2 linked regions of the Caenorhabditis elegans genome follow. The protein of the gene in region 1 purifies or fractionates together with the protein of each later gene. This does not show direct contact. Each region holds a gene or a part of one and is shown on either strand. Other genes may lie near its edges.

Region 1 (6,830 bases):
AATTTCTGGAGGGAGTCGTTTTTCGATTCCGCTTTCTTCAATAATTACATTTTGAGAAAAGGCGTTCGAAAACCGTTTATTACTGATATGTCAGCGGGAAAACGAATTTTTGAAAATTTTATTACAGGATTGTACTCATTATTGATTTCCCAAAAAGGAGACGTATAGTTGAGGGCTATATCTTGTACACAGACAGATGTATAGAAAAAAAACAAGTTTTGGCCTGAAAATTAATAAAAATAATATCTCTTGGCAGAGTATTTCTAATGCGACGAAACTTCATCTTCCATCAAATAAAATCAAAAACTATGAATTAAAAATACATTCCGCAAAACTTTAGTGGATAAAATGTTCAGGAGACGCAGGAAACCACTCCCCCCAGTACTAAATTTTTGAATTATTTTTTTCTTGAAAAATTTTCCCACTGAACTTTTTACAAATTTTATATGTCTCGATGCGTCTTGATGAGACCTACACGTCAATTTTTGGAAAACTAAGAAAACTCGAAAACTGACCGAGTTATGATTGAAAAAGTAGATTCGCGAAAATGGGAAAGTGTGCAAAATGTGGCACTTATTCGTCTTGCTCGGCCGACTCATAAAACTTTTCTTAATTCTGAGTTGAAAATCGTGTTTAGCGAACTTTTTTACGTGGGGTAGAAAAAAAAGTATCGAAAAAGATGAAGTAGAACTTGAGATAAAGACGAAAAACAACTTTTTGCCTTTTGCACTTATGAACTCAAACTTTCTTTCAAAAAATTCACCTCTCTGAGTAGTATCTTGCACATAAATTTGGAACAAAACCGAGCAAAACCCGAATTTTAATTCAATTAAAACATGGTTTTTTGGGGGTAAAAAGAGCAACAAAAATTTTTTTCAAACTAAGGAAAACCGCCCTGAGCTCAGTTTTGCTCCAAACTTTGTGCAGTTTTTTGCTCCCCCGTGGTGAAATATTTCTAGTAAGCTGTCAAATATTATAAAATTCAGTCAAACGGCTCTAGAGTTATTAATGAAAACGAAGTGTGACATTTTTTCGCAAGCCAAAAAAAACGCGAAAAAACGCGAAAAAGGGGCGGAGTCGCCACACTCGGCATTTATTAGAGGCTGCTTGGCAGAATTGAAATGTATCCACACCAGGGCTATGCGGCAACCGGCAACCAAGTTTTCGGTTGCCGAAACTTTTTGGGTTTGGCAACTTTGGCAATTGCCGGTTGCCAAAATTTTCAGAGTTCGGCAACTTCGGCGTCGCACATCCCTGATCCACACGTTTTATACTAGTTTCCATAAAACAGGTGTCACACGTTGACATGTATGTTTGGTACACATTTCTCCTCCTGCTGACCCACATACCACTCAGCACCGAATCGATAACTATTGGTATGCGGCCATCTCTCATAATGCCTTCATTCTCATAGTCTTATTTGATTTTCTCAGATTTTAAAGTTTATATTTACCACTAATTTTGAAAGTTTAAATGCTGATTTCAATAAGATTTTTGCTTATTTTGAAAATATTGTTTTCACTATAAAAAATATGTATATATACTGTTGCATTGAACATGCTATTTTTGAATGATTTTATTCAAAATTAATAAAAAAAGACTGAAGAGAGTGGGATTCGAACCCACGCCCCCGAAGGGACTGGTGCCTTAAACCAGCGCCTTAGACCGCTCGGCCATCTCTCCACATTTTTCTCTTTTCACTCAAGCTGTTGACATGTTGAAAAAACCCCAACCGATTTTCTTTTCTGTCTCTTTCTCTTTCTCTGCCTCTCCACCGTCTCTCACTACACCTCTCTTGACGCCACAAACAACATTCCGATATTCCGATGGTGTCGTTGTTTAGAGTGTTATTGTAATTACTGCAGATGGAGAAATTTTTTATTTATAATTCTTGTTCTCCACTTTACTAAAACAACTCAAAACGTTTTCAGATAATTCTTAACTTATTCAAATAAATATTTTCAGGATGGACACAACGAATCAGTCAGAAGACATAAAACCTTGCGTAAGTATTGAATATTTGGCACTCATTTTACTTGTTTCACGTCAAAATTATTTTAATTCCGGCAATTTGTCGGTTTGCCGATTTGCAAGACCACCTCAGCTTCATACCCTTCTAAAACAGTTCTAATTTTAGGATTCTGATTTGATGGAATCAATTTTGATGTTTGATGAGCCCATTTCCGACATTTTAGCGCATAATAAATTGTGGATTAGTCATGCCAGGGTATTTCCAACGCAATAGTTAAGGCGAACTTCTTTGTTTTTTTTTTCAGACGAGATCCAATTTCTTTCCACAAGAAGGTCGCCACATTTCCAATCAACACACCGAAGCAGCGACATCGTTGAAAATGTGGATGCTTTCAAAAAATTTGGTGGTCATTGTGAAAAGAAAGGACGATATATTCCCTTGCAAAATTCTGGTTGGTTTTTTATCAAATAATACGGTTGAAAATTGTGATATTTTTTCGCTAAAGTAAGCATCGAAAATGACTTCCCGATAATAATATTAGTTTTTTAACTTTATAATAGTATTGCATCTAAAAAACAGCCAAAAAGAGTGCAAAACTCATTAAAAAACGTTATATAAAGAAAAAGTTATTTTTGATACCGATTTCCCTAGGTGCTCCAAAATAAGGATGGGCGGCAGTTGCCGTTCGGCCAATTTTTTTTTGTCGACGAATTTGGTAAATCGGCAAACTGCCGATTCGTTGTTGGATTCGTTGTTGAAATCGTTTGTCGTCCACCCCTGTTTCAAAATCACTTCACTGCAAAATCACTACAAAATAACTGCACGAAAAAATGTGCTGAACAAATGAAAAGCCAAACTTCCATTTTTATTTAAACTAGAATTATTCAAAGTCAGTCATGAAAAAAAACAATATGGTATTATTTAAGTACCTCTATGTTTTTTCTTCCAATGTTTAAATTTACGTTCACATTATCCTCAAAGTTTCAGACACGCAACCCGGAAAACCTATTTGTGGCTCGATTTCTTGAAAGCGGAAAAGAAAAGCATATTCAGGTAGAGTATTCGGATATAATAATGACAAGAAGTGAACTCGAAAAAGCCCTGCCGTAAGTTTTAGGAAACTACTAGTATTATTTCTGAATAGTTTTTTTTTCAGATTGTGCCAACACTTGATTCCAGCGAGAAACTGGGACGACTTTTACATAATCCGCGATTTTGAGAAAGCGACTCCGTATTTTGAACAAGGCTTGTCCGCATTAGTGAAACCTGGACAGCAATTTGAATTGCAACTTGAAGATGCACCGGATTTTTACGTCATGGCCACTGTTGTCAAAAATTATCGTGGTTTCCTGTTGGTTGAATATCAAAACGTCAGTTGTGTGCAAAAGTAAAATCTGGGTGCATCAAAACTTTGTAATAAACTTTTTTTGGTGTTTTGGAAACTTGAAAAACGGAAAATATTCAGAAAAACAATGCCAGTCTTTTTGTTTCATTTTTTAATGCTTTTTCAGTTCAAACGATGGATACATATGCTCAGCCCATACTGTCATGAAATCGGTTGGGGCAAAAACGAGAAGCAAGAGTATTTGAAACGTAAGTGGAAAAAAATCCAAATTGGCGCTTTCTCACAGCCAAGTAGCTATTATTTAAAGGTGGATGTGCGCCAGTGGGGAAAATTTAAAGAAACGTTTAAAAAAGTTAAAAATTACGGTACTTATCAGGGCTGTGCAACCAAGTTGCCGGCTGGCAAAATTTTCAGAGTTCGGCAACTTCGGCAATTGCCGGTTGCGAAATTTTTCAGAGTTCGGCAATAAACTGAGTAATGTAAAAGTTTAGATTTTCAATTAAAGTAATGAGTTTGATCGAGATTTTTCAATGATTACTTGCAATTTCCCCTAGCAAAAATAGTTTGAAAATCATTTGCAAAATCGAAGAGAAGTGATTTTACGATTTTTTCAGGAGGCCCCTACAATCGACACATGAACGTTGACCTGGTTGCCGGACTCGTGAAACAATCGACAAATCAAAAACTCGGCGCTGTTCCAGAAATAGTCTTTAGAAACAATTGCCCAGTTCCCCATCGTATTCCAGTAAGTGATTTGGTATACTGTAAAAATGTTAGAAGAAACTCAAAAAACTGTTTTACAGGAATACAGTGCATGTGTCTATCTGGACTTGGATCAGAAACGCTTTTATTTTGCTCACAAGGTCACTACAAAAACTTGCAGGAACAACCGTCATTTTTTCAATATTTCAATTGGAAAAAATCTTGTGACCAGTAAGCAAAATAATGTAAGTTTATTGTTCTAGTTCTTTTTGTTTCAATCGAGTAATTTTCCAGAGACCCTACGAGTTTCATGTCTATCATCCAAGAATTCTACCATATTCAGTTGCTAAACGGATGGAAGTTCAGATAATTCTACCGCCTGATGTCAAGCTGCTTCCTGATGAATCAAATTTAGATGGTTACCTTCGTACGTATTGCAATCCGTGTGATGTAAGTAATCAGAAAATATATATATAAAATCAAATACATTAAAGGAGTAAAGAAGAGAAACAGATGAACATATTTTGGGATGAGACAAGGGATGGAGAGAAAAATATGCCATTTGAATAAAATAAAATTTCAAATTTGAATTACACGAAATACGTTTTTTTTTTCAGAAACACAAAACAAGTGACCGAGTGCAGCCTTCGCCAAAAATTGCTAAGAAAAAGAACGGACCTCTTTTGCTTGACGATACTCCGGACGCAATGTTCAGAAGCAGGGTATGTAACTTTAATGTGTAGTGTTGCTTGTTTTTCTATTTTTCTTTTCTGAACAGATGGTAATTCTCCTTTAAAAATTTAAAAATTCCTTTTTTGACTTTTTTTTTTTGACTTTTTACATAGGCTCTTCAAAAGCAAGAGATATTCAACAAAACAATCATCATACATACATTAGACCAATGTCGAGAGAATTCGAAAATTTAATTGGAATTCTTCAAAATTTCTACCACTTAATTTTCCAATAATAAATTTCAGCCGCTGCTCGGAGACAACATTGGCGCGCACAAAGAGTGGACAAATTTCATGAATCATATACCAGATTACAAACGAAAGGATTTGCTTAAGAGCATGGATACGCTCAAATTTTGTGAGGTATTAAACGCTCTTTGTTTTTTATATTATTTTATCGATCAAAATCTTGTTCAGATTTTCCGGCCTACACCTACAGGAGCGTTGCAGTTGACGGCTGCCGAAGTGACTGGACAGCAAGAATGCATGCTACGGCTAAAAGTGAGCGGCGAGGATGAACCTGTGTACATTCACAATGCGTTAGTTTTTTTTTGTGGAAATATAAAGTATTGGATGTGAGAAAAATGATTAAGTTTGAAGTGTCAATTTTATGACCAAGAAAAAATAGGAACATTTAAATTAGTGTGATGAAAACCACTTTAAGTTAAGCAAATTTGAAAGAATTTGAATGATTTTAAAACTTGAATTTGCAAAACTTGTTGCTCGTTTCCTTTTTTGTATCTTTGAAGTATTCTGATATTGCATGCAATCATTGAAGTAAAGTTGCCAGCAAAATTGTTAGGTTGAATTTTCAGAATTAGAACTCTTGGTGTAGGCATATTTACTTGGGTAAAAGTAGGTGTGAGTACACCGGCTTAAACTCTTAGACATTACTTTAGGTTTTTAAGCCAAAAAACCAAAACAGTTGTAATTTTAACGAATTTTCATTATTATTCGAATCCTTCTCAAACTCCTCAAAATTGAAAGTTATAGGTTTCCAGGCTGAAAATGTTGTCCTAAGTTTAAGGAAAAAAACAACTTACCAGTCTCTCAACCTTTTGATGAAGGGTTACAATAATCCAACGGTACCACAAAAAAAAAATAGTAACTGTAATTTTCAAATATCCACATAGACACGTTCATTTTGTCTCAAACTTACTCACTCTCACTCTCAGTTTATTTTTTCAGCGATCCACATTTGTACCATCTGGGAGCTTGTCTTGACATGGAGCTTGCTATCAACTTTCACGGAGAGTTTTTCGATGAGAAGCCCCTCAAAAAGAACAAAAACGCCAACAACGGATTTTCGAGTTTTTGACTGGTCTCTCACTCCAATTCATTTTTCATACGCTTTCATTCATATGATTTGTCATAAATTACCGCTATTATTCTATCCTCCTTGGGTATATCTCTTTTCATACCTCGCAAACATTCGTTCGTTTCAAATGTGTAACTCACTAGCAACCTTCGTGTTCCCTTGTTTTTAAGTGTGCTGTTTATATATTTTGATAATATTAGAGTAAATATGATATATGTATGTAAAATTTTATTACAAAAGTAAAAGGTGGAGTATGTGTTCGGACGAAAGTATAGATCCAAAATACTTTTGTTATAAAAGTTGTTCGAATGGTAAGTTATAATTTCATATCGAAAATAGTGATTTTGAATTTTTTACAAAAGAGATGATAAGTTTTTTTTTTCATTGAGGGGGCCGAAGATGCAACCCCGACCTCGACCCGCCCAAACCAAAAAAGTGCACACTACAGTCCAAGTCTGGGTCAAAATTCAAAAAGTTTCATATTCGATGTTTTCAGGCAAGTCTAATAATGCAATAAAATTTGGCTACACCATCATTAACTATTCTAGTAGTTGCTGCCAAACAATTCCGCGTTGATAGGTTCAATGAGAGGGAATTGTCCTGCTTTATTCTTACTGTAGATATGATTGCTGCTCACTCGCAGCCACAACACTCAAATTTGCCGGTGAGTTTAATGTAACACACTCAAATTTCCGTGCGAGGTTTTTAGTTTGCAGATATTTTGGCCTAGTAGTTAAAACAACAGATGTATGGCAGTCATTC
Region 2 (2,733 bases), on another chromosome or scaffold:
ACACCGACTACCGTACCCCAGAACACTGAATCTGACGCAAAAATGCAGAAAAGTTTTAAAAATTGGGTTTCCGGGGTAAAAAATGACCAAGAATTCGAATTTGATGATTAGAATTCAGTAATGTGTAATTTTCAGTTTGAAAATGCCGATTTTTTTCAGAATTTTTAAATTTCAGATTTTAAAGTTTAAATTTTAAAGACTTTAGCAATAAATTCAGTTTCTACGCAAAATTTGGTTTCCGGCACGGGTGGTTTTTCGGCTTTCCAGCTTAAATTGAGAAATTTCCGGGTTACTGTAGCCCCAAAAGTACGCAAACACCGAATCTGACGACAAATTGCAGAAAAATCAGTTTTTGTAGTGAAAAATGGCTGGAAACTTGAGTTTTCATGTAAAAAACTCTAAAATTCCAATTTTCTGCAACTTGTCGTCAGATTTGGTGTTTACGTACTTTCGAGGCTACAGTAATCCAAAAAATTTTGAATTTTTACGTATTTAGAGCCAACTTTAGCGAGAAATTTGAATTTTACCACCTAAAAAGCCAAGAAATCCTATAATTTAAGCCAAAAATTTAAAATTTCAGCACGATCCTGCCACGTCATCACCGCCACCGTCACTTCTACCACACACGGGTCCATCGGAAATTGTACACCACGAGGAGGAGGTTCATATGATGTTACCGGAGGAAGAAGCCGATCTGATGGACGACGATGATCAACAGCCATGTACATCGGCTTCTATGTATCGCTAAATTTCGTGTTTCCCCCCACATTTTTTTTGAATTTTCTGTACTTTCCCTCAGTTTTTGTGCGATTTCAATGCAAAATTCGAATTCCCTGCCATTTTTTACCCCGGAAAACATTGTTTTAGAGCTTTTCTGCATTTTTGCATAAGGTCGGGTGTTTCGGGTGGTGTTTGCGTACTTTTGGCGCTACAGTAACCCGAATTTTCAAATTTGGAGCTAGAAGGTCCAATTAAAAGCTGTTTAGAGCCAAATTTCGCGGGAAATCCGATTTTGATCCTAATTTTTGGTAAATTTTAGTTTTAACCTGTGAAATTCCTGAAAAATCTTGGAATTTCCAAGATTTCTATGAAATCTCAAAATTATAGTGCATTTTGACTCGAAATTCGAGTTCCATGTCACTTTTCACCCCGGAAAACGCTATTTTTTGAGCTATTCTGCATTTTCGCGTAAGGTCGGGTGTTTCGGATGGTGTTTGCGTATTTTTGGCGCTACAGTAACCCGAATTTTTGAAAATTTAGCTAGGGAGCCCAACTAAAAGCTGTTTAGAGCCAAATCTCGCGGGGAATTCGAATTTCGCATTGAATCCTTCAGTATTTTGTACCATCATCTCCATATCCTGAGATCTCTCACCATATTTATATTTTATTAATTTTCGAATTTTTTTGTTAAAAATTTTTATATATTTTTTTGATTTTCTAATTTTTTTTGTGGGTTTCCTGAGAGTTTTTTGCTCAACTTTTTATCGATGTTTTCACGAATTCCCCAAATTTCGAAAATTTCCAGAACTTCAGCACAATGTCAGCCTCGGTACCGGCGGATCTCCGAAACCTACGTGCCTGCCTACTCTGCTCACTGGTAAAATCGGTGGAAAGCTTCCAGAAAGAGGGCTGCGAGAATTGTGAAGACGTGCTTCACCTGAAAGGCGACGAGGAGAAGGTCTATGATTGTACCAGGTAGTAGGAGTGGAAAATTTTGAATTTTTATGTGGAAATTTGAATTTCCCGCGAGATTTTAGGCGGGAAATTGGGGGATTTTAAAAATTTGAAAAAAAAATTTTTTTTGAAAATTTTTTTTTTTTTAATTCGAATTTTCCCATTTTTCAGTGCAAACTACGATGGAATGATCGCGGCGATGAGCAACAACGAGTCGTGGGTGTGCAAATGGCAGAAAATGCAGCGAAAAGTGAAGGGAATGTACGCGATCAGTGTGTCTGGAGTACTGCCGAACAATATTGTCAGCGAGCTCAAGAGCCTCGGCGTCCGCTATAAGCCCAATCAGAGAGACTACTCGACGCAATTCAAGAAATAATTTAATTATTCACCCTTTTTTTCCACTAAAATTGGTCGATTTTGAAGATTTTTCAGACCCAAACCTAACTTATTTTCTGTGTTTTTTTTTAACTTTTTATATCCATTTTTGAATCATTTTTTTCTCGATCTTCCAATAAATCACACTTACGGGAGTTTTTTCCTTTTCCTTGGAATTTTGAATGCTCTCCTAATTTTTTTGGATGGGAAAGTACAACTATAGTAATCCTACGGTACTCTGGGACTGCGACTACAGTAACCACACAGTACCCCGGCAGTACATGTACAGTAACCCTACAGCACCACTACTGTAACCCTTCAAAAACTATAAAAAAGTGGCAAAAATGGCAATTTATGGCAAAAAATCACAATTTTGAAACTCCCATAAAATGGTTAGTTTTATAGTTAGAGGACTCAAAATTGATTTTCTGGCACTATAACATTGCCCTTTTTAAGAATATAGTGGTTTTGTACAATTTCCGAAAAAATATTTTTTTGCCAAAAAAAAAAAGGACAGTCATTAGATGGCTTTAAAAAATTTGGGCAAAAATAAAAAGTTGTCTAATTTTGTTGAAAATGGGTAATTCATGTATGCAGCATTCAGAAAATCTAGGTTTAACCCATCAAAAATTTTTAAAAAGTGGCAAAATGGGCAATATTTTTTTTGGTCAGTGCATTTTTTTT

Evidence for each region.
Region 2: the proteins of sor-3 (region 1) and spt-4 fractionate together in Caenorhabditis elegans (co-fractionation; one large-scale study listed by BioGRID). This does not show direct contact.

The regions. Positions count from the first base shown.
Region 1 is NC_003284.9:351,654-358,483, forward strand, and holds sor-3 (Sop-2-related protein 3), read left to right. Parts: upstream 1-1,965; 5' UTR 1,966-1,966; coding exon 1,967-2,005; intron 2,006-2,137; coding exon 2,138-2,227; intron 2,228-2,276; coding exon 2,277-2,423; intron 2,424-2,959; coding exon 2,960-3,078; intron 3,079-3,128; coding exon 3,129-3,342; intron 3,343-3,483; coding exon 3,484-3,565; intron 3,566-3,931; coding exon 3,932-4,062; intron 4,063-4,120; coding exon 4,121-4,264; intron 4,265-4,313; coding exon 4,314-4,469; intron 4,470-4,636; coding exon 4,637-4,741; intron 4,742-4,996; coding exon 4,997-5,113; intron 5,114-5,167; coding exon 5,168-5,289; intron 5,290-5,938; coding exon 5,939-6,068; 3' UTR 6,069-6,286; downstream 6,287-6,830. UniProt on the Caenorhabditis elegans protein: Probably acts synergistically with sop-2 to maintain the transcriptionally repressive state of homeotic genes in order to regulate various neurogenic identities. Specification of some neuronal identities also involves expression of non-Hox genes.
Region 2 is NC_003281.10:68,543-71,275, reverse strand, and holds spt-4 (Transcription elongation factor SPT4), read left to right. Parts: upstream 1-1,523; 5' UTR 1,524-1,537; coding exon 1,538-1,695; intron 1,696-1,845; coding exon 1,846-2,050; 3' UTR 2,051-2,203; downstream 2,204-2,733. Other genes in the region: attf-3 (C2H2-type domain-containing protein), read left to right, coding at 581-748. UniProt on the Caenorhabditis elegans protein: May function as a component of the DRB sensitivity-inducing factor complex (DSIF complex), which regulates transcription elongation by RNA polymerase II.